2 linked regions of the Styela clava genome follow. The protein of the gene in region 2 interacts with the protein of the main gene of each other region in a biochemical or structural test. Links are inferred from orthologs where the notes say so. Each region holds a gene or a part of one and is shown on either strand. Other genes may lie near its edges. The genes, in order: NEDD8-activating enzyme E1 regulatory subunit-like and NEDD8-conjugating enzyme Ubc12-like.

What was found.
Region 1: of the proteins of NEDD8-conjugating enzyme Ubc12-like (region 2) and NEDD8-activating enzyme E1 regulatory subunit-like, one has a biochemical effect on the other in vitro, tested with the Homo sapiens proteins (4 studies listed by BioGRID, with this or other methods). The link is inferred for Styela clava from reciprocal best matches to the Homo sapiens genes UBE2M and NAE1.

What each region holds. Positions count from the first base shown.
Region 1 is NC_135263.1:19,896,160-19,913,720, reverse strand, and holds the start of NEDD8-activating enzyme E1 regulatory subunit-like, read right to left. Parts: upstream 9,837-17,561; 5' UTR 9,720-9,836; coding exon 9,581-9,719; intron 3,169-9,580; coding exon 3,065-3,168; intron 794-3,064; coding exon 573-793; intron 309-572; coding exon 168-308; intron 1-167. Other genes in the region: rab proteins geranylgeranyltransferase component A 2-like, read left to right, coding at 12,091-12,142, 13,037-13,177, 13,357-13,477, 14,675-14,906, 15,158-15,337, 16,214-16,383, 16,752-16,837, 16,910-17,132. UniProt on the Homo sapiens protein: Regulatory subunit of the dimeric UBA3-NAE1 E1 enzyme. E1 activates NEDD8 by first adenylating its C-terminal glycine residue with ATP, thereafter linking this residue to the side chain of the catalytic cysteine, yielding a NEDD8-UBA3 thioester and free AMP.
Region 2 is NC_135261.1:7,725,853-7,742,996, reverse strand, and holds NEDD8-conjugating enzyme Ubc12-like, read left to right. Parts: upstream 1-8,183; 5' UTR 8,184-8,548; coding exon 8,549-9,097; 3' UTR 9,098-10,669; downstream 10,670-17,144. Other genes in the region: fanconi-associated nuclease 1-like, read left to right, coding at 10,670-10,820, 11,261-12,048, 12,915-13,088, 13,588-13,805, 14,722-14,843, 15,465-15,607, 16,613-16,762.

The sequences.
Region 1 (17,561 bases), on a different chromosome or scaffold from region 2:
ATAGCAGAGATTGATGTTAGATACAGAGATGAGGAAATTGTCGCATGGCAATCGCAGCTCCATCCCATCCCTCCTCAAATTTTAGAAACCGGTTTAAAAAAGTATTATCTAAGTAGCTGTATGTGCAAATCTTTGTTCTAGTGAAAACGAGAAATGAAAAAACCAACTTGTATGTCATAACATCAAGGTCAAGTGAATCACAATAATTCTTGAGACCAGGAAATGGATTATCCAGTCGAAGATCCTCATGAGTGTTATCTGGATGAGATTCAACAACACAATGTTCCTGAACAATTAGTCTTGAATATCTGTGAAGAGCGAAACAAAGTTAGGGTTCACATGAAAATATATTAATTCAACAAATATTGTGAGAAACTTTGCTATAGGATCTAAATGGTATACAGCGGACGTGAATAGCACGTCGATCACCATGTCCGGAGTGGTCGTTCGCGTATGATTTTGAGCCAATTTTATTAACAACATGCTAAAAGAATTGTCTCCAACTACAATTCACGCAAATGAAATTTCTATATCAATAATGAAAACGTTTCTAACAATTAATAGAACCATACCCTATAAATCCATATGATTTGCACAACACAAGCGGTATATTTTTCCCCCAAAGGAGCAAAGAAAGTTTCTTCAAAGTATCTTCTGGAATCAGACCAGAAACAATGACAACAGTAAAATGAGAGAATAACTTAGGATTATTCTCCAACAATTGGTCAATCGTTTCATCCATATATTCTCCAGATACATCAGGATTAAGTTCCAAAAGTAATTCAGTGGCAACCTAGAAATAGAAAAATAGGACAAATTGACGCAAAACCAGAAATATAGCATATTTAGTACTGATAAAAGCAAGATGGGCTGATATCAGGGATGGCCAATACCGAATAGTTCACAATTTCAAATACATTCGAAATTATTTTTTTCGAATATGAAATTTCGAATACTTCGAAAATAAAATCAACTAATTGAAGCTTACCTAAATGTATGTAGGAATTTCCATACAATAAGCAATGGAATAACTGCTATCTACAAGTTACAACCTAGCTATATTACCAGGCATTTCATATTTGCAGATTATTGCAGTATATATTTTATATACCATGAGTCATGTTAACAGAATTAAATTAATATGACAATAGTGGTATCGATGATGGATTTGAATATTTGCGCAACACAAAATCATCCTAGTAAAACGCCCATACTTTTAAATACCAACCATTATCCAAATTATTTGTCGAAGAGCGAGCGTGAGTACAAAAATACTAATCAAAAATTAATTATATTTGGGAACTTTACCACACATTTCAAGCCCGCAGATCGCCGTTGTATGTTTGAGTAATAATACTTTTATTATTTCATAAATATGAAAATAGGAATCAAAAACTATTTATAATCTGGTAGTTTATCACCCATTGTAAGTCCACAGATCGCCATTGTATTTTGTAAATACGAAAATCGGAATCAAAAATTAATATTAATTGCGAGTTTGCCACACAATATATGTCCACAGATTGCCGTGATACTGTGCCGAATATAATTAGTTTTGATTCTTATTTTCGTACTCACGAAAAATTGTCACGAGTCGGAAAAAGAATTTATATTTTATCCCGCTCTTGGAAACTAATTTGGATAATGGTTGCCAACTTGCCATTGGTTTGTATTTAAAAGTATGGACTTTTTACTAGGATGATTTTGTGCTGCGCAAAATATTCGAATCCATGACCGATACCACTACTTAAAATGCCTTACCGTGTTAATTTAATTCTATTATCATAACTCAAATGTTGGTAAATCGGGCAGTTTACCACACATTTGAAGGCCACAGATCGCCATTGCATGTTAGAATTATTAGTTTTATTATTTTGTAAACACGAATACGAAATTAATTATAATTGGGCAGTTTACCACGTATTTCATGTCCACAAATACCCTTTGTATTTGGCATTAATTCGCTAATAATTTTATATGTTTGGAACCAGATCATGTTAGTTTGGTAGAATCATACTCACAGAATTAACTAACAATTTTAACAATTGAGCGGTAAATTTAAGTTGTAAAGCGGCAATCATTTTGGACAACCTATTAACCCGAATGTTGAAATAATTTTGGAATGTGATAAGTACTACACTGTATGTCCACTGGTTATTTCACAGCTGTTTTCCTGTCCCTGTCGTGATTTGCTGAATCGGCAAAACGAAAGGGTCACAAATCACTTTATCTTGGTGGACCTTTTTTTAAAGTAACGATAACCAGCCTACGATTAAATACCATGATTGGCAGACCCTAAGACCCAAATATAAGGTTACACAAATCATGCTTGAGAAGACTCATGCGGATAATAAGCAGGCCACATAGAAATTAAATAAACATACTTTCTCAATTTTTCGACGTAATGGAAATGAATTCGTAAATTAAAAGCCTCGTACACGAATGTCGGCAATGTCCACCCATGCAAACGTGCAAATGTGTCGCAACACTATGCGACGTACGGTCGCACAGAATATAAACAATCAAAGTGCCGATTCTATTTCATCGTCATTACGTGAGACAGCGTAAAAAGTCGTTTAAATATTCCCGTAAAATGAAACACCACGTTTACGACGAAAAGTGGCTACTATTCGGAATTATTCGAAAATCAGCCGAAAAGGTATTCGAATACTTTGATATTCGAATACTTTGACATTCGAATACTCGATTCGTTTTGGACAACCCTGGCTGATATTAATTTTGCTTGAATGAAATGAAGAAAATATTCAACTTTTTAAATTATCATCACTTAAGTCGAGTGTTTGTCAATACATAAATGGGATTGAGAAGAATAAAAAAAGGGTAGGAGGCCTTATCCTACAGATAAGCAGCATATAATGTACAAGTGGCACAGGTAGTAGTCTTGGCAATGTTGGTACATTATCAAATCCACCCCTAATAATATTCGTTAGAAATGAATCTAATCAGAATATTCTTATTGTAATTGAATAATTAAGCAGTCATTTCTCACTTGATATGAAAATTTATGAAATATCAATTTCTTTCAACATAATATAATAATTACCTTAGCCCTTGAATCTCCAATTCTGTCAGAGTGCAAGAAAAAATTATTTCCAGCATCTTCTCCGGTTACACACTTACTATCGATGATTGTGAATGATCCAATACCTAATTTAGATACAAATTCAATTAGTTGAATATCCAAGTAAATCCAAATCTATAGTATAATTGATTTCAGGTATATGGATTGGAAGAAGATTTTTCATCTACAAAGTAAACTGAGGATCTGACTGAAAGATAGATATAAAAGGTATTACCATATTTCTCCTAGCATAATACGCACCTAGATTTTATTACAGCAATTACAAGATTTTTTCAAACTCCATGCATAATAGACATATCAAGTTACCGTTCCTCTCTTGCGTTGCAGGTGGTTTTTGGGGAAGCGTTTCAGGCATTAAGTCTGTTACCTATATCTCGGAATTAATATGCTCTATGTATTTGCTGTGAAACGGTCTGACAATCATGACGTGATGTTATTTGACATTAAAGTATTGTGTAAAGTTATTTGTCGCTCATCCTTTTAAAAACTGACAAGGCCTCACGTCAGAATGTGTTTTCAGACACCGCACTTCAAAGAGAAACCCTGGTCACTAATTTGAGTGACATATGGTGATTTATGACAGTGAAGTTTTGCTGATTCAGCGAAACGAGAAAAACAAGATACAATGACACCAGTTAGCGTATGCACAGCGTGTTCTTATCACTTTTAGTTCACTTTTTATTCTTACGCTTGAGTTAATGGACTGTTCAGCATTTTTCTTTACTAACGCTAAATTTTCATGGAACTGGTTACGCTTCTACCAAATGAAGCATGATCTGATTCTAACAGAACTTAAGATTAATGTATGTGACAATTATGACTATGAGCTAGTTAAGCATAAAATAAGAATTAATATTTTTCTGATATTTTCTATACCAATGGATAATACGCACCGCATCCCCTTACCCTGAAGACTAAATTTGACCACGAAAGTGCGTATTATACGCGGAGAAATACGGTAATTCCTGATTAGGTAGCTATCACAGGTATCAAAAGCAGGTATTGGTATTAGATGAATAAAAAGTATCCGTAGTAGATAACTAGTTTAACTAGGAGTAGATGACTGAAAGGTTAGATATCACAGGTATCAGTATACAGGTATAGAATGGTATCAATAGCAGTTGACTAAAACAGTGATATCAGCAGGGATGGCCATTTCCGAATACTAAACTATTCCGAATACATTCTAAAATAATGTTTTCGAATCTGGAATTCCGAATACATTCTAAAATCGAAAATAACACATTTTTGTTTTAGTTGATTAAAACCCAGTAAATTAGGAAATAAGCTTCAATAGAAATATCAGAATGAAGCCACAAACCAACAGTATATGTACACAAAGTAATTGATAGTTTATAGCTATCAATAAAAAATAATAGCAACTTGTGACACAGTCAGTTTATTAACATTATTCACTTTGTACAAATGACCATATGAAATAATAGCCAAGGAGTTGTCTGACGCTTTCTATCATTGGTACCATGATATTACGATAATAGTCAAGTCTATTGACAAAAATACTACTTGTATTCAGATAATTGTGTATATTTTCTGAGAGTAATAAAATTTATTGGCAATACAGGCAACAACAATCGAAAATCCATTATGCCTCTAAAAATTCTAATATTTGAGGTATTCTACTACCTACCAGTATATTGTTATTATGTGTAACATAATGTTGTGTTTGGAATTAGAAATAAATTAGTAGAGAATAGCTGACCACCACTGCCAGCGCGCAGCCAGGATTTTCGAAATCGGAAATTCCCATTGCCGCCTGTAACACCCACCGCCGTCTTTTCAGCGTATAATGATCATTCTGTTACGTAAAATATTCCATCCATGACAACTACGAGATTCTAAAATATCTTTATATATTAATTTAATATGTCCAACGTAACTCACGGTTACTTCTTCTTACGCCAAAAAAAAACATTACTATTTGGTCCACGGCGATCTGTGACCTAAAATTACGAGATAAACTGCCTGATGTATTTAATTTTAATACGTATTTTTGCAATCTTGCCAACTCGTTATCGCCGTTAGAAAAATCTCAAATAATTATATAAAATCCTAAGTGTAGAGTATAATTCATTTCATACAATGAATATACATATAAAGTTTAGCAGTAAATTAAAAAAAAATATTCATCGCCGCGATTATGCCACCTCGACTTTTAACAACAAATAATATAACATCGAATATATATTTTTCTGTTGTGCAAAGTGATGAATTCGTGTCCGACACGGGCATATTTAAAATGTCTTGCTTTATTAATTTAATTGTCTTCAATTTAACCTGCGGTTGCGTCAACAAAATAAAATCCTCACCACTCTTATATACCATTGCAATCCGCGGTCATAAAAATAAAAACGTGAGGTAAACTGTCCGATTAAATATTGTTTTGATCCGTATTTTGCGAATTCGTCAAATATTTAGATGTACTTGTTAACAGTGACTCCGCTCGATCGAAATGCTGCCACTCTGATTATTTTTAGATAAAACTGTTCGAGAAATCCATAAATATGCTGTAATATCTCAGAGTAAAATTTATTTCATCACAATAAAATTGATTGAATAAACTTTAGATTAATTATATTATATACATCCTCACAACCCGGGAAAAAGTCGCGTTTCAAACCTTGTATCGTGTTAACATGAAAATATTCGACGGCAATTTAAAGTAATGGATAATCAGGCAAATCCCGCCCTCAATTAGTGACGATATGTTTCTAAACGCCGACCAAACATGTGTGCCAGAGGCACACGAAATTTTGCGATTTTCACTGCCTAGAAAAGAGTTTTTTAAATTTTCGCGGGCCTCAATAAAACTTATATTGTTTACGGTTTTATTTTCAGTATTCTAAATTGCCGCTTTTCAATCAAAAAGTTGCGTTGTCTTTAGAAACTCGCCGCCGATGAACGTATTTACCAGATTCACAATTCCGTGCGCGTACAAAAATAGAATAAATGTTATCGTTATCGTGGAACAAATTTGTGGAAAATTTTCGTTTTAGAGTAAATAACACAATCGTAAAGGCGTTTACGGGCCTAAATAACACGTTACGCTGATGAGTGATGAAAACAATCACGCGCAAGTTTCTATCGAGAATGTTTTCATTCAACGGAAACGTCTTGAAAGCGGCGTCGAAAATGTGTGACGTCACACAAATATCCGATATTCTTATGAACGTGAATTCCGATATTCGAATGACGAGATATTCGAATACATTCGAATACTTTATTCGAATTGGCCATCCCTGGATATCAGTAATACAAGAATGAAAAGGTAGCTATCACAGGTATCAGTAGTTGATGACTAAAGAGTATGTATTAGATGCGGACATCAGTATTTTTTCTTGGGTAAAAAACTAACTGAAAAACGCACGCAACCGAAATCCATTTTACAAGTCGGAAAATTCGTGATTGCTCATCTTTATATCTGACATAACGTGAAGGGTGGTGGAATGAAACAGCCACCAATAAACAGTGCTAATAGGTTCTATTCATTCTGTCAGCTACACGCTAATAATCTAGGTTTTCACACTAGGCTTGCACGTAATTTACAAATTTACGGAATTACGGAATTATTTCGATTTACGCAAGCGAAGTCACGAATTACGTAAAGTCGTAATTATTGGTCGAGCGCTTTCGCGATTGAAACGAGCTCTCTTCAGAGCAGGCAATTCCGTCGATTGTAAAAAATTAAAAGTTTAAGTAAAAGAAGTTAGAGTTCCGGTATTCGCAGCCGTTTTTCTCTCTCTTGTTAGGCAGATGGGGAGGGCATAATGCGTCATTTACAAACCTATTATCAACTTATCTAAGATGGCCAATGTACATATTAACCGTAAATAAGGAATAGAATTGTGTCGAGACCGATGGACGCCAACACACCTGGTTTCAACTTCTTCGGGTGAAATGAGTGAAGAATGTAAGAGATCAACTTATAAAACATGGTCTATTTGTAAATGTCGTGATAATTAATGTCGCGCTTATCAAACAGCAAGAGACGGAAGAGAAATTGCGTAATGAACCAACGCAACTTAGTCCTTTCGGCATCGGTAAAGCGATTGAGACGGCAGAGAAACAACATTACGACGGGATTTCCCGTGTTTATTCTGCGCGAAATCCATTTTCTATTACAAAATCTTGATGTTCTGTTACCGGTTTTATCGTTATATATCTGTCCGGACTTGGCATTGCTCAATATGTTTTTCACAATGCCTCGCAAATCGCAATATGTCGGCCAAATATGATTACCTGTCTTTACCAAATGCGGCAACTTATTTTGATTTATCGTCGACCTGAATACCACCGGCACTCGACCAAACTTGTGTCAATCTTGGCAAATAGGATTGTCGACTTGAGTTAGAAAAATAAATTAATATTTTCATGAGTGCAAAATAAATGTCACAAAATGCATTGTTTTGCGATATAACTTTGTATTTTCGGAGAAGGCATGTCATATAAGTACGGTATTTTAAATAATGCGCAAATAATTAATATTTGATCTAAATTTATCGTAAATAATGTTATAACATTTAGGCCGCGAAATGATTTAATGTAAAATGAAGCATGGAATTCGGAATATCGTCAATAAGTCGGCATCAATAATTATTATAAAATGCTAACTAAGTAGTAAAGTCGGATATTGTAAAAAACGGTGAAATAACAAGTCTTCGTCGCGAGGCAAGCGAAAGTATAATCAAACGAGAGAATACGCTTGTAGTTGATTAATAAATTAGCAACCCGGAATTTTTATTCAATACGAAAGTCGTATTAATACGTCAATACGATTTTAAAAAAGTGAACTATCGTTTCTTAAACATATTACCAGTGTTGGTAATGATAAAATTGATCGCATAAAATTTGGTGATAAAGTTGATAAAGGAAAATCAAAGCTAATACAAAAGATAAAAATCAGAATAAAATTATTTTGAATTCACTCCTTGATATTTGTCTTTAACATCTGTCTCCGGCGTGTGGTACTGCCGGGAATATGAAAACCAAACTTCGATGTCCCATTCGGAATAGAAGTGGATTAAATTGGTTGGTATGCTAGGTTTAAATGTGTGAAAAAAATATCGCAATTACGGGGTCATTACGTAATCGATTTGGCCGTAATTACGGAATTGATTTTTGTCAATTACGTGCAAGCCTATTTCACACATTTCGGTAAGTTTGCACGCAGGCTCAGGCGTTTGGCGTGCCCCAGTCACTAATTGCACACCCCATTCCTCATGAAAAAGGCCATGAAACCCAGACTGACAATAGTTGTCGATTTGAAAAAAAATTAAAAGATAGTTTTTGGTTTTGTTGCATTTAAACATTAAGGAACCAACTAAATTCGAGTCTCATGTAGTTTCGTACCTAACATACTTCCAGTGGGCGTAGCATGACAATTTTTTCACATATCAATCCTAACCCCCACCTGACTACACCATCCAAAAATTACGTCATTACGACGTCACAGTGACGTAATAGAGCCCTTCAAACTACACGAACTGCCATCCAAGACGCGCAAACGAGCACCCGAAATCGAACAGTTATTTCTCTCGTTTTCTCGTCGCATCGATTTCAATAGTAGAGAGATCGATAACGTCAGTCAGTTCCTTATCGTCGGCGCCAATGCCATTTCGGTCGATCGTGCGTATATTTGGCAAGCTCTATAACGTGATTGTGATGTCGTAGTGTTTTAATTTTTGGATGGCGTAGTCAGATGGGGGTTAGGATTGACATATCAAAAAATTGTTATGCTACGCCCACTAGAAGTACGTTAGGTACGAAACTACACGAGACATCTAAATTCTACAACACTGTAAAATGGGTCTTACTACTTACTGAATACGGTACAGCGCGAAACACCGCAAAGAGCGCAAAACAGCGCGAAACAGCGCAAAAGCGCGCGAAACAGCGCAAAAGCGCGCGAAACAGCGCAAAATAGCACGAAACAGCGCAAAAGAGAGGAAAACAGCGCGAAACAGAAGGAAACCAGCGCAAAACAGAGGGAAACAGCGCAAAACAGGAGACGCAGTCATTACCACCTTCTGCCACGAAAGAACCACGGCGCCTCTCGCCATGGTTTTATGGCGCTATTTCCGGCATATTTACAAGGTTATGTACCGGATTATAGGTCATCATGCGAAATTTTATCTACTTTTTTGGTGCTCCACAAGTATGTGCAGCAATATGTCGCACAGCCTGAATATATACGTTGGTTTGTGTTTTTAATTTGCTGCCGTGGTACTCCAACTCAAAACAAGGTGCCCCGAACTCATTGCAAAATTTTTTTCTGCTTCACACTGTTTCCCTCTGTTTTGCGCTCTTTCGCGCTGTTTCCACACTGTTTTGCGCTGTTTCCCTCTGTTTTGCGCTGTTTTGCGCTCTTTGTGGTGTTTCGCGCTGTATTCAGTACCAGTAGTAAGACCGCTGTAAAATTCCGTAAATTCGTAATTTAAGTTCAAGGTTGAATAGTCAAACCTGGTAAAACCATGTTTTTCAGTATTTCAGTTCCAGTGGCTGTAACATTGATGAGGCAGACCTTAGCGTTTTCTAATGATCTCTGACCATGGTCACCCCACAATCGTAACTGACGATCATACTTCTGCTGCTTATCCATCGCTAGTGCATTTGGATCCAGACTTCAGAAAACCAGTTCGAATATTTTTACACACAACATGCATCTGTAAACAAGATGACAACATATGGGGAATTCCCTTGTATAAAGTTCAAAGGTTATAAATAGATAGATACCGGTAGTTTATTTTTAAAACTTCACAATCTGACAATACAAACAATTCAAAAACTATAATACGTACGATATGTTCCCGTTTAATATATGTTGAGTCAGCTGAACTATACAACTAATAATTACTTCGTAGTTACTACGGTATTGATGTTTCCCCGATTTTCCTGTTAACTTCCGTAACAATTTCCAATCCAACTAGACTAGAATTAGCTACCAGAACCTATAAGAGGCACGTCGTTGATTGTTTCAATGAAGAAAAAATGATGATTTTAGACATGTGAACAAGTTTGTAAGCGCCAACTCTCCAAAGCACTATCATAATAACGATAAGGATCCAAGTTGTGTTCTCTCATATGTACATGTTCATGTTCATATGTACTATATAGCTTTGGAAATATGGTATTTTAAATTTTTCACCCATTCATAATAACTGCCTCATTCTCACTATTTGATTTTTGTCGAACATAAAGTAAAATTAAATTTGAGGAAATTATAATTAGGCTTACGCCCTTCTTAATTTTTCACTTCTTTTCGCATTTTATTTACTATTAAAAAAAGTATAACCTGCATAATCATGCGATGTTCTTTTTTCTTGTAATTTTCAATCTTTGATTGATACCACCCTATTTGCAAATTAAAACAGCATTTCAGCGGATCATAATATGATGCAATATCATGCAAATCTCAGTGTATGCTATCAGATTTATAAAATGGATAGGAATTCACAATCTTATATATGGATTCTTCATATGTCTTTGTGAAAATTATTGAAGATACTATTATATATAGTCTGAAGTAATAATTATATGTACTATATAGCTTGGGAAGTATGGTATTTTTAATTTTTCACCTATTCATAGAAATTGCCTCATTCTCACGATTTGATTCGTGTCCAACATAAAGTATAAATAATTGTAATTAGCCCGACGCCCTTCTTATTCTTTCTCGCATTTTCAATTACTATTAAAAACATAATCTGCGTAAGCATGTGATGTTCTTGTTCCTTGTAATTTTTATTCCTATTCCAATACTTTCGGGGAATTGATTTCTGGGGCCTCTCAACCGGGCTTAAAACTCAAAAATTTATATTTCTTCTATTGTAATTATAATGCCTGCTTTAGAGTGTCCTGTCTTGGTAGAATCTTACCTTAGGGGTCGGTCGACCTTGTTGACCTTGGAAGTCTTGCCCGTCCCCTTCCGTATACATTTTTATGCTTATTGTTATTTGCTCATGCTTATTGTATTATGTACTTGTATCGGAAATAAATCATTATCTATCTATCTCTAAGTCTCCCCAAGTATCTCTCTCTCCTTCTCTAAGTCTCTCTCTCTCCCCAAGTTTGGGTGGTAACTGACTTTGACGACCGCCAAAGGTCGTATCGTTGCTTCCCAGTCATATACCGAAAACATCTGTTTATTTGAATAAACTCTCTCTCTCTCTCTCTAGTCTAGAATACTGTATGTTACAAATCAACTCCTAGGCATAGGAGACAGATACGTATACATATATTGTATACGCTGCGTAAAATATTCAAGCTTCAACTATCCACCCAGTTTTCTGCTGAAGTGCTCATTCTGCTGCCTGTGTATGTCAATGGCAAAAATACTGATTATCTGGGTACAACCGTAAATATATACTACTACCGTAGTAGTATATATTTACGGTACAACATCTCCGAAAAAAGTTACGTCATCCTTTACTTTTTGCTGATTGGCCATTGTTACAGAAAAAATAAACAAGAAAATCGATGCTCGGGGAAACATACATATTAAATATTTCTCTCTCCCTAGCCAAATATTCAATTTGGGCATACAGGCATAGCGCATAGCGGGATTGCTGCATTTTGTTTAAGTTGTTGTAGCAGTACGGTGTTGGTATTCAGGTGTTAGTACCGGTATTTATTGACGGTTCAGGTACGAAACGACTGCAATACGGCAGTCGCAATTTCAGTGACGCCAGCCCACTTTCAGACTTTTGATGTAGGCTAGCTGCCTGTACATTTGATTGTCTGATTGTGGGGATTGGTTTTGTTATTGAAGAATATGTTATGTTATTACTGTGTTAGTCCCTCACCTAAATTCCAGAATTCATTACGTTTTTTTTTCTAAATCAAACTCCATAAATATATGGATGGTTAACCCTCCGTCTCCCATGTAGAATTGCTGAATTGTGGGGTTCAAGTTATCCTAATATAGGTAACTTTATGCCATTTTGTTTACCAACCTTTCTTTTGGGTAAAACATGATGAATGAAGAGCTTGCCAATGATTTCGACATTATTGTTGTTGGGACAGGTGAGTACAAGAAATTTAATGAAAATACACATTGAGATCTATCAGTCGTCAACGTTAGATGTGATTTGCATGAAGTTTTCAATTGACTCCCGATGTCGGGATGTTGAAACAGTTTAGATTTTCAAAACCACAACGTTTCATTCTCAATTCTCCCTGGTCAACAAAATATTTTTATCGTAGTGCAGTAGTGCTTCTAAATAAAATATTCACTTATTCTGTATTCAATTAGGACAAGGTCAAATCCTTTCTGCATTTCTGCCACACACTTTTAGGCTAGTATCGTCCAATGCAATGCAAATGGTCTTCAGCATTGTTAACATTGCAATCTTGTCTATACAGCTATATATACCTTTGCAGGACGAGTAGGCAGACACACACTTTAGTGTCATTGGGCCTTATTCCAACGAAGTTGCCTATAACTCCAAACGAATGCCATACACCAATTCATTTATATGTCCCCTTTTTGCTTTATATTATAATTTTTGGTAAGGTAAACCATAATCCCGTTATCATATATATAGGCGTATATATTGCCTATATATAGTTTGGAAGTGCAACTAACTGCGTGTTATAACAGATGAATTAATATCAAGTTTGTCTTATACTGAAATCCTTCAAAATATTCTATTTAACTTGAGAACGTTTCTCCAGTTTGTGATACCATTACTGCTTTAACATGACTGCATGATGAGTTGATCAACTGGAATGTAAATAGTTCAGCAACATTAAGTTCCTTTGTTGTATGTACAATTTTACTTTTTATCCCTCAATTATGTTAAGCAAGTTTTGCCAGCCCTATTACAGTAATATTGTTATCTGAATCGCCATTGCAGAAGGTTCAATTGTTCTTATCGGCCATCACGACATGGTAAATTTACGCTTTTATTACCTCAGGTCTTTCAGAATCGATATTATCAGGAGCACTGTCGCGTATTGGGAAGAAAGTTCTTCATCTGGATCAAAATAAATACTATGGAAGTAATTGGTCTTCATTTAATCTACGAGCATTTGAAGCTTGGATTGAAGAAAGAGATGGTGAGTATAATTTACTATTTGAAAGATAGCAAACTACTTTGTGTGATGAAATGGATGAGGCTGATATAAATTTTGTTCCACATTTAATTAAGTCTCATCCGGTCATCCGGTCGAAACTTGTAAAATATTGTGCATGTAAAATAGAAACTCTTTTTCAACTTTATCTTGTTATCAAACAGATGATGCCAGAGTCTCAGTGAATGAGATTTCACAGGAAATAAACAATGAAACTGAAGAATTAGTAATTGTAGGAAATATTCGTAAAACCACTCAACAAGGAGTAGTGAAATGTTATCTACCGTAAGTTTATTCACCATAAGTTAGTCACCATTTACTCATCATGCCATCATTTATTCTTGTTATCAAGCATCTTCAAGTCAATTTTCATTCATTTCCTGCTAGACAACTGAGTGAGAGTTGAAGGTTTTGATGTGACTCTATAAATGATCATAAAATCGATGATCCATGAATGCAAAATCATGATAATGATGGGATAGTCATTGAAGACATGGGAATATACTTTGAAACTGGGTATTTACTAATAGGGGTCATAAAATAGATGACACAAAATATTGGCTTAATAATATGCTTGGAGTGTTTTCTTCGATCAGTATCAGTTAAAACTGGAGCTCGACCGATATATCGGGCCGATATTGCGTGTTTGCCGATATATCATATCGGCCGTATACCGCCGATATATATCGGTCATACTCGGCAAGCGCCGGGCTGCGTGCTGCAACAGCTCTCGCCCCTGCGTATATTTCTCTCGCTTTCATTTTGCGTTATAAGGGTGTCTCTCCTAATTCCCGGTGTCTTATGATTAGCCATTTCATGCATGGTCATAACTGAAAAGTTATATCTGGAGTAACAATGACATTTTATAAAGTGACATTTTTGAGAGAGTACACAATGAGAAAAAGGCAAATTTAGTAACAGCATTAAACGGTGGTTCTATAATAGAATCGATTGGAAGCTGGTGAGTTAGTAATCATAGAAACATGAAACAGGTAGCTCAAAGCAATAATGTCAGTTCGGAATTTGTGACCTCCCAAAATTCCAATTTTGAATTTATGGGGTAACAGTTTTGTCTATATTGATGGTTGTTTATCATTTTGCTGAAAATTACAAAATAAAAACTTAATCCATTATTATTGACTAAATAAGGTATTGAGAGTCTCTGGAAACAAAGTTATTAAAAATTTCACATGTAACTGCACATATGCTATCACAATATCGAAGGATCATTATCACGATTCACTTTAAAATATATCAATTTATATTTTTTCAATACCCCTAACATATGTCCATACTATAGACTCACAAGGTGCATTATAAAAGCGTGGCTCAAAATATGATTAATATTAATATCGGCATTGCGATATCGGTTATCGGCCATTTGGCCGATATATCGGTATTAGCGTCAAAAAGTGATATCGGTCGAGCTCTAGTTAAAACTCGTTAAAAACTGTTATTAATAATGTTCAAATTATTTCACAGTGATGTCCCTAAACCAAGTAGTCAATTGGACCAAGATCTTCCACTAGCAGACGAACTAAAATCTGATGTAAATTCGAAAAGCAAAGATGTCTCTGGCGAAGGGAATGATCAAAGCTTTACTCAACATGCTCAAAGAAGTCCAGTGTCAGAGGATATTGAGACAATACAGCAAATTGATCAAAAACAAATGGAAGACTTAGAAACAATGGATAATGGTGCTGACAAACAGGAAGTAATGTTGGGATATTTCATACTAGACCAGAGATTATTATTTATGAGTGTTTCAGAAGGGGAGCCTACTAGCTTGGCATAGCTCCTCCTTGGTCGGACTATGATTTAATTCCAGATATCTGATTTGACAATATTCACTGTTATATCTTGCCAAATATTTAGGTTCTGATATTAATAAAAACAATGTATTTTAATTTTCAAGTTTATTTATTTTTTTTTTAATTTTTCCAAAATTTACTAAACTTTCTGCAGACTGAAACTAAAAATGAAGAACTAAAAAACAGTGAAGAAGCCGTAGAAAAAATTGGAGAGAGTAGTGGAATTTTAAAAAATTTAGCAAAACAGGATAATTCTAAATCTATTATTGATGATAACTCGAAAGAATATTTTTATTCAAAATGGAGACATTATAACTTGGATCTAGCTCCAAAGGTTAGTGGACTTTAGTACCAGAGTATTGATTTGAATTATTGACCTTCTCGAAAAAATTAAACCTTAATGCTTCCCATGACTACTTATTTTGGCGCTCCAGAAGTATGTGCACCAAGATGGCGGACACCGGAACGTCGTATGTGTACCTGGTTCGGGTCAGGCCATAATTTTATTTCAATCTTCCTTATTTTAGTTCTCTTACGTGATCGGTGACTAGCCAAGTGACTTTTGTTGTATTTGTACCTAAAATTATGGCCCAACCTTAACCTGCTACACATACGGCGTTCCGGTGTCAGCCATCTTGGTGCACATGCTTCTGGAGTACCCTTTTTTTAGGTAATTATCAATAACTATTTTTAAACAAGCTTCCAGGCAAACACCAGTATTTAATGAGGAAGCTGAAACTATTTGAATTATTCTATTTCGGCATAGTCTGGCTGCCTCCTATATTGGTGATGGAATGGGTGTAGGGTTCAGAGGAAGTATTCCAAACTGTGCCAAGAATTTTTTGTTTTTGAATGTGTGTTCTCATAATTATTTGGGCCTGACTCAACGTGACCTCAATACAATGAGATTTTGTTGTCTCTGAATTATTGCTGACTCAGTTCTTCCTTTTGTCATTGCTTAACATTTTTCGACTCAATGGAATGGGTTAGCAGCATTGATGACCATTGTCGGTCTAGCAAACTAACCCCGACAAAACAATATTATGAAACAAGCTGAAAATTTGTATTCAATATAGAAAGTGTTGTTCTGTGAGGATAAAATCTCTCTCTCTCCATAATTTCAACAAACTTTTTCTATTCTATAAGAAGAGGAAATTTTAGCAGGTGGTTACTGATCTGAATTTCATTATTATTCTATCCTCTAATACAGTTGATGTTTTCAAGAGGGAAATTGGTTGATTTACTTATTACATCTAATGTTAGTCGATATCTCGAATTTCGGAATGTTACAAGAACTTTAACTTTACTCAATAATGGTGAGAATACTCTTCCAAAATTAGCTCCAGTTCCATGCTCTCGGACAGATGTGTTTACAAGCAAGTAAGGAGTCTAACTATATTCTATCATTATGGTGCAATAATCTCCTGTTTGACAGGCCTTCCAAAATTTGGTATTGAGTGCACAAATTGGAATATAATCTGTTAAAATAAATTTATTAAACTTTGCAATTATAGCTATTGTCATATCGGATCATACTAGGAAAAGACCTTGCTTCGCTACGTACTTCAATTTTCCTATCTCAGTTTCATCATAAGAATGTTATTTGCTATGATCTTGGTATAGGCTGATTACAGCCATAGGCTGATGATGCTTTTGGATTATGACTTGTTTAATTTGTGTTTTAGGTATGAATAATTATGTACCGTACCTCAAAAACATTTGATATTGTTTTAATAATATTATTCTAGATTTGTTACCATGATTGAAAAACGAATGTTAATGAGAGTATTAACTATGTGTGCGAATTATGAAAGCCACCCTGAAGAATATGCAGGTATATACGGTACTTTGAAATATTTGAATTGGTTTATAAATAAACTTTTGATATTTAATCCTTGTTTTTCAGAATTTGAGGATAAAAAATTTATTGAATTTCTTGCTGCGAAAAAACTCAGCAAAAAACTACAACATTTCATATTGCATTCAATATCAATGGTTGATGAGAATACAAATACTGTAGAAGGACTTAAGGCAACTCAAAAATTCTTGAATTCTCTTGGTCGCTATGGAAATAGTGCATTCTTATGGCCACTATATGGTGTTGGGGAGCTACCACAGGCATTTTGCAGGTAACCACTCTAGAATAGTCAAGATTCATTCTCGCAAAAAAAATAAAAGGTATACCATAGTCCAGGCCTGCCCAACCTTTTTCGTCTCGTGGGCCACTTTCACATAACGAAATTCGTTGCGGGCCGCAAACGTTTGTAACAAACTTTAATACTAGCCAAGTCCCGATTTCGTTAGAATTTACATAATATATAAAAGGCAAATATATTACGGTAACATAAAATCAATCAAGTTAATAAATATTTTCTGGTTACTGATTAGTGCTGGCAAAATATTCGAATATCAGCAGTTTACTATTAGAATATCTGTTAACATGGGGCGTGGACATGACATTCGCGAGTCGCTCATTCAAAAAATCAATCATTACACAACGCACTTGTGGATTTCTGACGGCCACACGAGAATCTGCACACAGTTTTCACTAACAAACA
Region 2 (17,144 bases):
GGTTACATCTGACAGAAAGTCAATGTTCATAGGTGGTCTGAATATAAAATTGTTCGAGTTTGCCATTTCTTCAGTCACGCAGAATGTTAAGCCTTAGGACGCTGGGCCCGTATATTGAACAAGGAAACATTATAATGACTCTGAAATCTTGCGTCGTCAAATAACACATAATCTTCAATCGAACTGATGGATACTTCTAGTATGTCCTCTAATAGGAAAGTATGATTTCCCACAACCAATTAAGAAAACGTAATTCGGTAATATAAATCAGTGTATGAAAACGATGCCATTCAGTCGTATGGTACACGCGATACCTCCAATCATAACATGTCAGACGCAAAATAAATAATCAGCGGCGGTCTACCGCGATGGGCTGAATAGAATATCGAAGGACCGTGTCCGATTTGGAGTGTATCGTTATATTAATAAACGAGGCGATGAGTGTTGAATTACTCCTGTATTGGACGTTCGAAATGTTTGACGACATGCGCACGTGCCGTTCGAGAGGTTTTCAAACCTACTTGTTTCATTAGACTATTATGTACCTATTACGTCAGAATGCTTTGAATGGTTAACTCCTACAGATAACTTTCAAAATGGAAGAAATAATATTAGTTTAAAAAGAAGATGTTTTCTAAAATAATATTAGCAAAAATAGCTCACGTCACGACGTAACTTTACGCGGGCTCACTTTCTAGACGTGAGTTCGAAATTTGAAGAAGTAGGCCCGTATTGCCCCCCCCCCCCCTCCACACACACACACACACACTAAAAAAACGAATGGACTCAAAAATAGGATGACAACGATGGGCGCTTTAAATTTATATGCTAACGATCTCCTTATAGTCGAAATAAACTCTCCGACAGGATAATTATACATTCTCGACGCATGCAAAGCAGCTTTACATTATTGTTTAATAAAAGTTTCAATTTCCTTATTAGCGGAAGGAAGATGTCAATGTGGCAAAACCTGTCAGAAGTTTTTTTTTGCAATAATAGGTTACATGACTGTTGTGTCAGGAGTTTTTGTTTGACTGCGCATTGGATTTGCTGTTTCTGCTTTTAGCGCGTGACTGCAAAAACATGCAAAGTGAAAATTGCAGGTTCTATGTAACAATGGTGCTAACTTGAGCCCACGATAACGCTTAAGTTCAAGCGCTCAAAGAATATCAAAGTCGACGCTGCATCTGGGTGTAGGTCAACAGAGAGTGTTAGCTCAATGTTGCAGACTGTTCTGAAAGTTGTTTACTAAGTCAATTATAAATCGCAAAAGCTGCTACTTGTTACAGATTATAAGTAAAAGTGCAATAATGCAAGGCATATTTGTTTGGCATGGTGTTATAGGGAGAGAATGACCCTATCTGCGCGTTCACTTGCGTGTTATTTAACACACGTTTAATAGAGTGTAACTCCATTCTGAAATCCTCAAAAGTAAATGAGCACACAATGTATTGAATGCCAAATGTTCCTATATTGAAATACACCAGGGGTCTCTAACTCAAAATATGTCGCGCGCCACTTGTAGGAATTTACTGACGACGCGGGCTGCAAACTAACAAATTATATACAAAATTGTTATACCAAAATTAACAAAGTAAATCTGAATATATAATATTTGTTGAAATTACCCTTGAATCTCACACCAAACGAGACATGAAACATATTCGTTTACTTGTTTTGGATATTTGGCACCGTTTAGTAGCGTCGAGAGACTCGATGTTTGGCCTTATTTTGCGTTGGTTTGCTGGTCTTTGTACAGAGGTCTACAGTGTTAACTTCAACTCATAATCGCGTGATGGTGACTTCAGTCATACCCTCCATGCCAATGAAGTTTCAGAGCTGTAATTTGTTGTGTTCTTTTTTTCATGCCATGATAATTTCCGATAGAAATCTTTTCATCGCGACAAATTCTGATACAGATATTGGTGGTTTGTACAACTATACCATAAACAAAAAACTTCGTTTAAAAAGAGTTTTTTTGATAGATCGAAACAAAACAGGTATTTTCTCAACAAACTGTTGTGAAAATAAGATACCTCAGTAAATGGACTTCTTTCGAAAGCGCATGGTTGCACGAAGCGTCAATCAACATGTATACGTTCAAGTCACATAAATGTGCTATGGCACCATGAAATTTTTTTCAAATTGCGCAAAATATGAAATTTTAGTTATAGGCAACATACGTACGCACAAGTATATTAGATAATAGATTGAATTTAATTTTAAAATAATTAAAAAACTCAAGGCTGCAGTAAAACGTCATGGCACCAGAAAACCGACGTATTAATACCTGTTTCTAGGTGCGAGAGCTGAAGGTCAGCCCAATTACTGATAAAAAAAAATATTATTCATGAATAAAATTATCTTTCCATCTTTTGAAATGAACGGATTTACGATTAAGATCCCAAGTATTTTTTTTATATTGAAACAAGACTTCACAATTTAAAAAAAACTTCAAAATGAAGAATAGTTTAGAATTGAATGTCGAGGCCCATGGGCTTCAGCCTACCTCGCTTAATGGTAAGTCCGATAAATCATGCATGTTATAATAGTCAATACATTATTTGTGCAGTACCACGTCCAAATAACAAACACAAATAACAAACACAAATGTCATTAGTTTTTAAAATATTTCCGAAGTATTCAGAATCAATCAGTTTGAAAATCGCAGCTGGAAATAATCCTTAAATTAAATATATTTATATTTCTGCCCGGTAACAATCGAATCTTTGAATATTCGATTAGTACGATGAAATTAATATAAATAAAAGTAATAGCCTTTTAGCGATAAAAACAATTTTAGTCATTGAAAATTTGAAAGTAAATGATTCAGTAGCTAATTAGAAAAGCGATTTGTAATAATAAATAAAAAACGAAATACTAACAGCAAGGACAAGACCAACAACAATATAATCATACTAATTACTCATAAACAAAAATAAAAAACGATCCATATGTACATTTCGTGTCCAGATATGCGAAAAATAAGTTTTGACATATTATTTTCATAATTTATTTTGCAGAAAAGGCACCTTATCTTTATATTTTTCATATAGTAAAGTGAATCAGGTTCGTATCCTTGTAGTGGGGAAATGTTCTTGAATTCAAATATTTTTAAAAGAAGGGTGTTGATCTCGCTCGTAGAAAATACAAAGATTTTTGCTTTAAGGTGGATCTCCAAACAAACCATTCAATTCAAGAATATTTTTCGAAAAAATCTTTTTTTTAAACAAGTCAACCATTTTTTTCAACTTTGATTCTTTTAAATGTTGAAGAACCTTATGACAAATTTCTGTACTCGAACTCGAACCACCAACAAAATTCGATCTAACTTGGGCCTCTCGACCAGTTCCCATTTCATGTTGGGTATTTGTTTCAGCTGCATGATTTGAATCATACAGAAGCCGTAACTAACCGTGTGCACCCACTTTCGACGGTTAGAAGTCCAGCAATGAGCAATCCCCCTCAACCTAATTAGCCTCAACGGTGATGGAACAAGATACGAGTTTCACTTTTATCATTAGGAAAGAGTGGTCGATAAGATGACTTAATCATATGACGAACCAAGATTTCTCGTATGTCACCGGTCACAGCCCATATCGGGGATGGAAATATTTACTGAACATTAGTTCCAGGTTTAAAATCTATGGACTGGATTGTGTGGTAAGCTGTACCCGGCAAGTGGTTACGTAGCACCATACAACGGCGAAGAGTCCAGGGATTCTCTTGAACATAATTATTCTCATAGTGTTGGGCATAGGATAGGATTTACATATCTATCCCGAGGGAGAGGAAAGTGTTTATATATAGTGCTCAATCATATGACGTACAACGGCCTCTCGTCCGGTTACCAGTCCATGTCGGGTAATTAGCTATTTATTTTTTCCAGATGTCTGTTAGTATTTTATGTTTGACTTTTTCTCAGTATTATTTGATGTTAGACTCACTCGATACGCTGATCGCGTAATAATTTATTGTTGTAATGAAATACAGTTTGTTTGTCTCTTTCATTTCTCTCGCAAGTGCCGACAATAACATTATTGAATGATTTTGGCAATAGGATAATCATATTTAATTGTAACAAAAATGAATTAGGTTGTGAAAAAGTGAGAATACGTGCGATAATAATAATGGCGTAAGGTGGAACGGCGAGCAAAACCGAAGCGCGTGATCGGCGGTGCGTTTGGAGACCACGTATTACCCGTGCGGCCGCGCAACTTTTAAAATAATGTGAGGTGCTCCGAAGACGCTCTCGTTTACCTTAATGTAAGAAAACAGTTGTAATATCGGTAGCTAGAAACCATTTGTTCGAGTTAGACTATGACACTTTTTATGAGTAGAAAATGTTCGTATTTTGTGATAGGTGTGCCGCAACCAATGACATTTAACAACATGATGCGCAACTCCGGCATTTTTGTCCGAAGATCGTATTCGATAGCACGCTCCAATGCACATACTTGACGAGACGAAAACGAGCGGATGTGTGCTGCTTTCAAGGCGTAGCACAAATGGTGTTCGTGCCTGCTTTGACAGTTGTTGTCGATTTTAATGATATTTTGGAAAATTGAAGGTAAAAAGAAATCGGAAAAAGGTAAGGTAAATACTATTGTTGTATATCACACCCGGACATAGCACTGTTAAGTACATGTGGGAAAGCCAGCTTTTGTCAAATACTACGAAGTTATCAAATCAATACGGTACGTAGTTGCCCATTTGCCGAAATTGCGTATTTACTTACCCTTTATGGTTTCAAATAGTTCATGCACCTCCATTTAGATTTTTCTAATCAGTGTAGAAATATATACTCATTGCTGTAGCATACTATTGCTCATTCACTTTTATTTGCGTATTGAATCAAAGGGTTAACAAGTTCACCTAACATTTTAATCATACCGGTCTATATTGTATAGTATGATCTCTCAAGTATTTGGAGCCACGAATGCTTGTAATTTTCTGACTAAACCCTTTTATTAGTTGATTTATATACCAAATTCAATAAAACATTTTTTACATTAAACATGAGATATTGGATTTATTAGCTTTTCCATTCTAAGTCATATTGACTGCTTTATTTATTCTTAACGAAAATTAATAAATCTCCTCTCTTTCTTCAGATGTGAAAGTTGTGGACAAACCTGTCTAAGCATTGTGAGACTCCTGTAGCACAAGAGGCAATAGCAAAAATAGTAAGTATATCAATCAAAAAATTAAGCCGACATAAAGCAAAACTTTCAACTATTCGTCTAATCTCAATTTCCTATTATTTATTCACAGGACAACTGTAGCAGAAGGGGAGATATCAGAAGTCTGGCGACATATCAGTGACAGTGTGATTCCAAGAAATATAATTAGAATACTCCATAAATGTTTGCAATAGAAGAACAACCTATGAAGGCATGCAAAAGCATTTGACCCTCCGGTAGAGTTGTGTATGGCCCCTACATCCTGCAAGGCTTGAGGAAAATAACTAAAAATTCCAATGCGTAAGATTGCATAAGCGGTCTTCTTTGTGAAAAAGCACAAAACATGCCAGGCATACTTAAAACAGCTTTGAAAAATGAGGATTACGGGTCACTACACCTATGCTATATTTGGTTCATCAATTTTTGGTAGTACTATAGAAAAAATTCAGGAAAGGGTATAATCATGATTCATGATAAAATACTGGTATATATTTTGGACAACTTCAATCTAGACCAAACTCGCGGCCCCAGAGAACTTCCAGTGCGGCCTCGAAAGCTTAACAATAATTGTAAAAGTATTTTGGAAGTTTTTTTTATCTAAATGTAACAGCTTTTTCAAACTTTTTTAAGTGAAATTGAATATTCACACAGAAAACAATTTACTAAAAGTAGTTTTAAAAAATTAATTTTTTTTGTTCACATTTTGACCCATTTAAGAATACACATCAAGCTAGCAAAATAATACTTGAATAAAACACTTGAGTTATTAAATTGAACGCAAAGTACATGAAGAAGGTGGCATTTTCGAAGAAAATGGGAGTTGCAATATTTCTGCATTTCACAAAATTCTCTGAAGCACATTGTTTAATTTGTCATATTTCCACCAGTACAATGAAAAACACAATAAGCTCAGCAGTCAATATGGCAAATTCGAAGACCAACTTCGAACAGAAAATTTCCATGTGTTTGTATATTAATATAATTATACAACTTTTTTGTTACTAAATATCAATAATAATTCAAGCAATCCTATGCCATGCAATGTGGCGCGAAATGTCTTGTCGAAAAAATCTGTCATTTGTTTTTTTACTGATCTATACATGAAATGATAAAAGTAACTTTTTTGCATTACTGGAATTAATTAAACATTTGCAAAGATCCAGATTAACCCATGATCATGTGACCTCGTTAGTTAGAGTTGGTACTATAAAATTATTTCATCCTGGCTTTAGTATGCTGGTGACACAAAAAAGATGCCAAACGTCAGGACAAATGTAATTAAAAAACATTGAGTTTATATTGTAGTATTTTTGTTAATTTTAGGTCCATATATTTAGATTAAGTCATTTTTTTAGTGTATGTATTATTCTTTCCTTATCCAAAGCTTGTTCAAAAATGATTTTGATGGTTGTACATAGAATTTTATGATTTTTTGTAATAAATACAGTAACTTGCAATAATAGTGGAATGCAAATATTAACATGAAATTGCATTTGAAATTAAAGAAAATAATAAAACTTAATCCAACTGTTTAGTTGCATCCTAATATATGTCACAAACTAAAACTATCTTGAAAATATCTTTCAAGTATACATTATCAAAAACTGTTTGCGGCACTTTTTACAATTTCCAACATGCAATGCGGCTCTCGAAAACCCATGAGTTTGACACCACTGATCTATTCTAGACAATTCAAGCATTTCTTTGGGAAATATTATAACTTCAAATAAATTGAAAATAATCTTGCCGTATTAAATACGAAATCGTTGCTATCATAAAGATAAACCAATTCAGCCACTGGAAATATATTGGCCTTCACAAAGCAATGGAGGCAAAATTAAGAGTTCATGAGCTATGAACTTTTGTTCTTTTCTTTGTCTTAAACTTTTCATACTCCACAGCCCCTATTAATTTTTTTTTTAATTTCAATTACCATGTGATGGTAATACATATCTTTAACTTGTATTTTCTGTAATGATGTATTATCTCAATGTGTCAAACTTTTAATTAGTGTGCATATTTTGCTTCCAGATGACATAAATGTATTGTCCTGTTTATTACCTCAGCTTGGAGTATTGACAAGAAAAAGGTGCCAGTAAATTCTTTGTTATAATCAGAATTCACAATTAATAGGAATTATAAACAGCCACCAATCAATGAGAATTACATGCGAAATCCCTCACAATAAATTTGTCTAATAATGTCTAATAAATTCACCTACTAAAGCAAGTTCGATAGGTGCAAACTTTGTGTTATGGAATTGTATCACAGCACCGTTGGGAGAAGTAAAAACAGTTTTGCTGTTTTGTATGACACCCTCTTTAAATGAAATTTCAATGTTTACGCGTAAACATTAAAATTACTAACTTTGAACTTTGTCATTATCTGCAAAATGTCCCACACAAATCTTTACTCTATCGCGTTTGTAATCTTCTCTGATAAAAAAAAAAGTCTATGATGTCCAGAATTACTCTTTACAGCTTGTATGTCATTCCAGCTTTCAAAGTGAGCAAAACTTCTTAGATATAGAGATTATTTTCTTTCGTTACAGGCGCAAAAAGGCAGGTACTAAACGTAAAGAGGACGCCGATTAGCAAAAGCAAGCGGAAAACGGTCGCGAAAGGCGACGAGAAATATGTGCATTGGAGCGTATCATGAAATACAATCTTTCGCATGTAGTCTTATGGAGTGACGTCAGAGTTGCCTATCATGTTGTTTAATGTCATTGGCCGCAACTATTTAAATAGCACTGCCCTAGATGCTCTAATATTTCTGCGTCGATATTACATGAGATAAATACGTGATTTTATTGTCATGCAAGTCGTTTGAATTTTTTACTTAATTCCGAAAAATCACGGGATTATACGGCTCAATCCCGGGATATCCCGATACCGTGATTTCAAGAACTGGCTCCGAAATCCCAACCCTAGTGGTGCATAGAGTCTTGTTTAGTGTAACTAAAGTTTAAGTTGTTTGTTGTTGTTAAAATATCTATATTTTATATTACTGAATACCGTACTAAATTCGTAATAAATTTTTGGTAGTGTTTTTTCTAGTTACCCGAAGTTGTCATAACGTCATATGCCATTCTCAATCATTTCGATATATATACACACCACTATCTGAAAGGAGAAGTTACTTCTTTGTTTATTCCCTACGATCGCTTTGTCGAGATTGACCATTTTAGCCTGGGTGTTGTCTTTGGTCAAGATTTGTCTCAGACAGTTTTGGGGCCATAATTTGAAGCCGGAAGAAAATCAGTGAGATATGAACCAATAACATTTGTGGGAAGAGAATTGAGAGCGTGTATGGGTGTAGACTGTGCAGTTGAAAATTTTTGATCAGAACAGAAAAACACGAAGAAAATGATAAAATTATTTTCACTAAAACAGCAAAAGAAAAATGACGAAGCATCGGGGGCTTCATCTGGTAGAAGAAAAGCTTCAGCGGCTCAACTTCGAATTACTAAGGATTTAAATGAACTGCAGTTACCACCTACATGTAGTACTATTTTCCCTGATCCCAATGATTTACTGAATTTCAAGCTTATCATTGCCCCTGATGAGGGGTTTTACAAAAATGGTAAATTCACTTTTACATTTAAAGTTGGGCAAGGTTACCCTCATGATGCCCCAAAAGTAAAATGTGAAACCATGGTTTACCATCCTAACATTGACCTTGAAGGAAATGTTTGTTTGAATATTCTCAGAGAAGATTGGAAACCTGTTCTTACCATTAACTCTGTCATTTATGGGCTTCAATATCTTTTTCTTGAGCCCAACCCTGATGACCCTTTAAACAAAGAAGCAGCGGAGATGCTAACAAAAAACAGACGTGCATTTGAACAGAATGTATACAAATCAATGAGGGGTGGTTACGTTGGGAGCACATATTTTGAGCGATGTTTAAAATGATTTTTTTGCAATGTTGATATGTATTTGATATCATTTTGATGCCTTTATAATGATAGTTTATTTATATAGGCTATTTGGTAAGTTTTACCATTGACACAGAATAAATGGACTAAGGTTGCTTTTGACGACTCGAATAAAATACTGGCTATTTTGTAAGACATCTTTTATTTCACCATACGTTTTATATTTATTTTGCATAATTCTGGTTACTCTAAGTGGGCTTTTGTGTAGAAAATTCAGACAATGTTTTATTATAGAATTGATTGAAATTTTATCTTTCCAATGAAAACAAATTCATATCTACATTTGGTCAACTTTTAAAAATAACTTTCTGTCTATCGAATGACATAATTTCCAACGATTTTCGAAATTCAACTTATCTATATGCTCTGAAATAATCTGTTGAAATTTTTGAAACACCTTATAAATCTATTCTTAACATTTAACATAACACAATGACGAAAAATGCATTTAATTTCTTATTTCATCCATATCATTTAAATATCTATCAATATGCATTGTGGTATTTGATTTACAGTCACAATCTTAAAAATTTAATTTTGTTGCTTGAGCTTTCTAATAATGTTTTGTATGAAAATGCTACCTGTGCAGCTTTATACCATCGGAATTTTAATCCAGAATTTAAGATGTGATTAATACTGATTGAAAATATACTAAAATTTAACCAATGAGTAACTGTTAAGTTGTCCTCAAACATATCTAATTTTTCAAATCAATTTTAATATGGTGATTTTTTTTTGTTCATTAAAATTTGTGAAGATGATTGGTTGATAAAAAATAACCCAACAACTGTATCACTGATATTAGTATGTCTATATCTGAAACACATTTCTATTTTGATTATTTCAAAAAATTCATTCATGTGGCAAAAACATGCTATAAAGCCAGTTTTTCGATCAAAATATCCTACACAGATATTAAAATCAAAATATTTTGACAAGGGATTTGTTATCCTTTATAGCAATATTAAAATAATGTTCTTTAAAAATTCCTCTTTTCAATATGATGAGACAAGTGTCCAAAATATTGGTATTGGCCATGGTTTTATTTTCTGTTATTTATGTTAAGACGCATAATCAGAATCAGTATGATTGTTTTGAACCATGCTAGAATACTTCCCAAGTTCATTATTTTTGGTCAGTCAATGATTTTGTTCAAAATCATTTTAATCTTTGATAAATATCTTATCTGCTGCTGATAATCATTGCAGATGAGGGTCCATGTTTTTGTCACTGATAAATATTTGAGGTTGAAAAATGTAGCAGGTGTCTAACTTTGTGCTATGTGCTCAAATGTGGTTATGTAGGCTACCTCAAAGCTGATGAGCAGAATATTCCCTAACTTAATAAAATAATAAAACTCTGGCATTTTTGTGTTGTATTGACTATCTGCTTTTTTAATGAGGTGAAATACCTGTTTGTGACAAAATTACATTCTTATATGGAAGCGTGATATAATAGCATAGGAACCTTTCCCCCATTACGCAATAAATTCCAATTGCTTCTCAAAATTTTGTTTATATTCTGATGAATTGCTCTCTATACCACACCTATGAGCATATTATATGTGACTGCATGTCTCTTTGTATTTTATTTCAATTCACATTGCTTATTGAAAATAAATAAAATACTAGACCAATCCAATCAAGAACAAAATGGAAAATACTTCAAGAGAGCTTTTTTTTGGATAAAGCCGGAGAAAAGTAAAGCACTAATTTGTTACGACTGTATTCTTTTTAATATCAATTTTGCAAAATTACTAATCACTTTTTTTGCCCAATCTGATCGAAACATTTAGCTTATATCAAGCTACAGTTTTAAGCCATCGTTTTAAGTTTTGTCTTATGTTTCTATAATCAATTCATGATTTTTAGGAATACGGTAGTTCAAAATAGTTTTACATTAAAATTATCATTTTGGGCATTTGGCAGCTTGTATTCGAATAAGCTTTAATAGAATCTGAAATTAAACAAACTCATAATTTAGTTAGTCATAATTTTTCTGCACCATAAAGTTCTATCAAATCAAAGAGAGACTATATACATTATGCAATATTTCAAAATATTTTTGAAATTGCGATTTTTCAGTTTTAGCCATCATTTTAACACATCGATTTTATTATTGTGAATTTATTTGTTTCTAGGTGCAATGTCTGGAAAGAAGAAAAAGACTGTCACTACAAATCCAAAGTCATCAATTTTGAATTACTTCTCATCACAATGTAAAGACAGTGCCAATGAAGACACTTCATCTAAAAGAATCGCAAATATAAATGGGAATAATAATAAACGAAAGCTCAAATCTAGAAACACCTTTAGTAACACAAACAAGAAGCCAAAAATTTTGAACACTGAACTAATAATTATTTCATCTGATGACAGTGCTGATGAAAACATTGATGTCAGACTGAATGAAAAAAGTAAAAAATCAGTTGCCACAATTTCTAAAAGAAAAGGCAGAAATAATGATGATAAATCTTTATCCCCTCAAAAGATTGTTCCAGAAATAGTCAATCATGAATTCATTCAAAAAAATAAAATTGCAAATTCTATATCTGACGTTTCGCCACACCACGATGATGAAAAAATTTCTGACTTAAATTTATGTATTTTAAAGACCGACACAAAGCCAATAATAGATGATTCAAAAATCACCGGAATTCTGCCAAATGCGAACACATCTGAGGCTGATGCATTATCTGCTGAAGACTCATCTTCCCTAAATGAAGATAAGGAAGAGAAAATAGCGTACTATCTTTTAAATTTCCGACAAATTTTGGACACTGTCTTAGGAAATGAAGATGATCGCTCCATATTTGAAGGATCTGATGACATTTCGTGGATTGATAAATTTAATAAACTACCTCTTCAAGCTCAGAAACTTTATGTCAGATTATATCATCGTAAAGTAGCTTGGCTTAGATTAGAGCAGGTACGTATGCTAAAATATAAATATGAAGAAATATAATTCTCTATTTTAATAGTAGATAGATAGTTCACTCCTATTGAGACTGTGAATCTAATCATCAAATTTAATGTAATTCAATCCAATGTATGTTCATGCTTTTACTGTGCGTTTGGGGCTCCCGAAGTATGCGAACCAAGATGGCGGACATCTGAATGTAATATGTGTACTAGGTTAGGGTTAGGCCATAATTTTAGCTATAAATACTACGGGAGGCTCTTGGCTAGTCTTCGAACTGATAATAGGACTAAAATAAGGAAAATTGGAAAAAAATTATCGCCTAACCCTAACTTGTTACCCATGTTACGTTCCGATGTCCGCCATCTTGGTTCGCATACTTCGGGAGCACCGTGCGTTTTATATAATATTGTTTGAATACAAAAAAAACTATCGGGTCTGCTGTAGCTTTAGTTCGTTTTGCATTATGTAAAAAAAAATGAGAGAATTAGATTTGAATGTATTTGGGTACTTGCTTACCGAATGAAGATGGAAACCTTCATATGATGACCAAATTTTCACTAGAGATAATTTAGAAAAGTATAAAGTTAATAACTTTCCCGGAGAGGCTTTCATTCATGGCTACTAAAATATTAAAGCTTCTAATTTCAGTTGTTTGGAAAAGCTACACTGGCAACAATACTATCAACAACACAAGTTTAGCAAAATGATCGATCGAAAGGGCCATCTTTGTTAGCACTTTTTTGTTAGTAGTATGGGCTGTAATCCCACAATATTACCAATATATAATCTAATGATTGACTAATTATTCTAGAAGCATTTCCCCTGTATTATTCTAAATTGAATGAAATACATTTACTGTTCATTCTATACAGATTAACTATCCTGATATATCAAGCAATATTCATCGAGTATTGAAGAAATTGGCAGACGAAGGATTTTTATTGTGGTTTGATCAAAATAATAACAATGATTTGAGTTTGTCTGATGTTCTCAAGCTTCTACCTGCACCTAGTCTCAAAGATCTTGCCAAGTCTTTCAAACTAAATGTAAGTATTTTATACTTTGTTTTCGAAAGGTTTTGGAGGTATAAATGGTTAGCAAACTAAAGTAAAATTACTTGAATTTTCATCATTATTGTGTCATGGGACTTTTCGACACTCAATGTTCTTGAGAAGCTTGTTCGTACAAAGATGAGTTTTCGACAACACATGGTAATACACTCATATCATTCTCATAAGAGTATATTTAGGTGTGCAGTTTTGTTTCCTGTGGAGACGTTTGTCACTGTTTATTAAAGGGCCACAACTTTTGAGGGCCCCTGGGCACTAAAAAAAATTGGGTATATTGTTTCGGAGTTATGTTCAAAATTGTGAAACAGTGGTCAAAAGGTATCTATTTTCACTGCCAAGAAATGTTTGTAACGTTACATGAACTATTCCAAATTGATGATGCAAATAAAAATTGGGAAAATTTCATTCAAAGAAAATTCTCAATAATTTATCCTCTTATTTCAATTTGTGTAAATATTAGTGTTTCAAATTCCAGGCCAATGGCAAACAGAAAGTTCAGATCCAAAATGAACTTGAAGACATGTGTAGAAAACAACAAAGTGTGCTTGGTGGATTTTTTAAAAATAAAAAAGCTCAGGCGAAAGGGACTCACCAGAAAAAGTCAGGCTTGGGTAGCAACGTCATGAAAAGAGCTAGCAGATTGCTCGGACCTTGTTATAAAGTTGCTTCATATCCAAGAACAGTGTTTAACAGGTAAACTCCAGTTTACTATACATTGTATTATGTACAAAAAATGCTCGACTCCTTTGAGTCCGTGCCACACAGCGTGATTCATATGATCGTTGGTTAGTTATGGCCTCATCCGCTTTCTGAGATCAGGCCATTTTTGCCGTTTGCTGCAGATAACTACCGATATGCTAAATCCCTTTATCTTGTTTATTTCAACACTGAAATGAATTGAATTCTGGGCAAATACAAAATTTATCTGTTTATTTATCCATTTTCCACAATGAATTCGACTATAGGCAGAAGAAAAAAGTATGTTAGAAAGAATATTATTAAAAGAAAAAGATGAATCAATCATATGGGATCCATGCATGACATGGCCTCTTGTCCAGTCATCAGGACCAAAGGGCCAAAATCTTTTCGGTTCAGCCTCACCAACCCGATTTATTACACCCTGGATGGGGTAGTGGGCAAGGGATTTAGGATTTAAACCTAGTATTTTTAGCTTGCGATGCCAACATAGCAAGTCCAAGAATTTAATCATTAGGCAATTGGGTACTCCCGAAGTATGTGTACCAGGTTAGGGTTAGGCTATATAAGTTTATTTCGTTTTTCCTCATTTTAGTTCTTTTAGTTCGGGGACTGTCTGTGTTAGCCAAGTGAATATCCCTCTGCCCCATAGGCTTCAGTCCCTTTACACAACTTATAATAGGCGAATAAAATTAGTTACTTCCAAATTGGTACACATACTTCTGGAGCGCCGGCCATTGTGCCTTTAATTTCAGATAATTCCTAAACATTGATGAATATAGGTCGATGTAATCACCGAGAATCTTTGTTTGTTTTGCTTTCTATTTGTTAAAATAAAATTCTAGTCAAATTTTTAATATTTGTTCATTAGCTTAGCATTTCATAATTGTTGTTTACTTACCGTACTTTCAAGGGTACTTCTGGTATTTGACGTAACACGTGGAATTGATGATGAAACTGAATGCTCATTAACTGGTTCTCAAAACGCTATGGGGCAGGGAAGACACTTGCAATTGTCTGCTATTTTGATGGCAGGTAAGATTTACATATATGTGTTGATTTGCTTGTTAATTGTAGATGTTGTGGAAATATTTATTTTCTCCACTGGTAGTTGACCAACCAATTACAAATTTTCAATACTTGAGAAGTTGAGATAGATGGTTTTTAAGCATTTATAAAGACTATCATTTTAAAAGACTTGTTTTTTCCAGAATTACTTTCATGGGACCTATAATCATATGGGTCCTGTTATTTCACCCCAAATTTTACTCTTTTATATTAAACCAATGGTAATACTTTAATAATATAACATGTGAGAACACTTTTTCTGATTTTTCACTTTCCTGTCCATTTGTCATATTATGTCAACATTTTCTTACTATTGGACATACTGTTGTGAATATTTTATATTGTTATTATTCTTCTGCTACCGGTAAATACGTACAATGACTAAAATATAATTGAAATTGTTTACAGACATTTAAACCATAGACGTTACAAAACTAATGTTTAAAGGTCACATCATCATAAAACGTATTTATGATAAAAACCATTTCAACCAATATGACATTTATAAATATTTTTAATAAGATGCTTTTCTCAATATACATTCTGATAATTATTAGCAATGCTATTCATGAAATATTGCCTTTTCAGGCATGGGAAGGGTGTCATACCCATCATGCGTTGTGGATCGTCCTACACCGATATTCAGCAGGAGAAAAGACCTTTTACATTATGAGACGGCATTTCAATTTCAAACTGATATTTTAAGCTGTGTGGAGACAGGAAATTGGCAGGTATTTTAGATTTTATTTTAATTGAATTATATTGTATGAAAGATACTCCTCTTCTTGTGGAAAATTAATTATAAACTCACGGTTATTGTTTTTTTTCATATAAAGTGCAAACACAATAATGAACCTAGGTTATGTATAGCGCATTCCAAGGTACAACAGTACCAATGGTTCTTGCTAAAACATAATCGGTGGTTTACAATGACGGTTGAACTCATTTCGTGAAATTCAGGGTTTGCAGTGGTTCAACCAAGGATGTGTAGTCGCAGCCAGGCGTGTTTTAAATGGTATTGGAGTATTTTTAAATTCTCTGTTTTCGAAGATGGAATTCCAAAAATTTAATGGCAATACCCAAATTCAAATTTTTAGACGCAAAAAACATGAGTGGACTGAGCATTCCTAACAGACAAATAAAGAAAGTGCCAAAGTGTTCGTTATTAAAATTGTAAGCTGGCCACGAAGTCATATTGTTCTGTAACTTGGAGTTGTTTGGAACTTGAATTTTTACCAACTATAAGGGTCGGAAGTCAAGAGTTCGAAATCGGAAATCGTGTGTAAATTTTACTAGATACTTAAATGCAGATAATCGCTCATTGATTGGCAATCTTTTAATCAATTATTGCTGGCTTGGGCTGTTACATAGATCGCTTATGTACCCACAAAATTGGCTTGTGTGCTGTGATTGGACTAAATAAGTCATGTGGACTGCGAATATAACTCGCTAAGTACTGTAGTTGTAGTTGAAGCTCCTACTGAGGTGAAAATTTGACTTTCTAAGGAATTACTAAACTAAGGTCTCAATCTGATGTACCCCCTGGAAGGTCAAAATGTACCCTAATGGGTATTGACTGATTCTTATACTGTACCCCTTGGAAAGTCAAAATGTACCTCTGGGGGTACATGTACCCTAGTTTGGGAACCCCGGATCCAACTCAAATAAATTGTAGATTTTTATTTTTAGAAAATCCATAAAACAAACAAGAAAAAGCTCTGATTGTCTTTTTCCAGGGGGCTGCTGCATTATGTGACTCTGCTCACTCTGTTCACATAGACATCAAAGAAAATGATAAAGAATCTTTAAAACATTCTGAAAATCTACCTCAATTCTTACGTTGTTTTACTGCGCAATGGACATACACACGTTTGAGGTCATTGGAGGTGAGATGAGTCCTCATTAATGCTGATTTAGGTAATCCATACAAATATACTATTTTTGCCCATACAAGTAGGTAGTTGATGTTAAGCAAGAAAGATACTTGTTGTTTTAAACCTAGTATCCAGTTTCTTATGACCAACTTGTGGGCGCTCCAGAAGTGTGTGTACCAATATGAAGGTTAAAGGTAACTCATTACCTACCCAATTTATTTAACCCTGAATGGGGTAGTGGGAAAGGGATTTAAACCTGGTATTTTTAGCTTGCGATACCAACATAGCTAAGTCCTACTTTACATCAAGTTGTGTAAAGGGACTGAAACCTATGGGCACAGAGATATTCACTTGGCTAACACAGGCAGTTCCCAAACTCGTAATAGAACTAGAA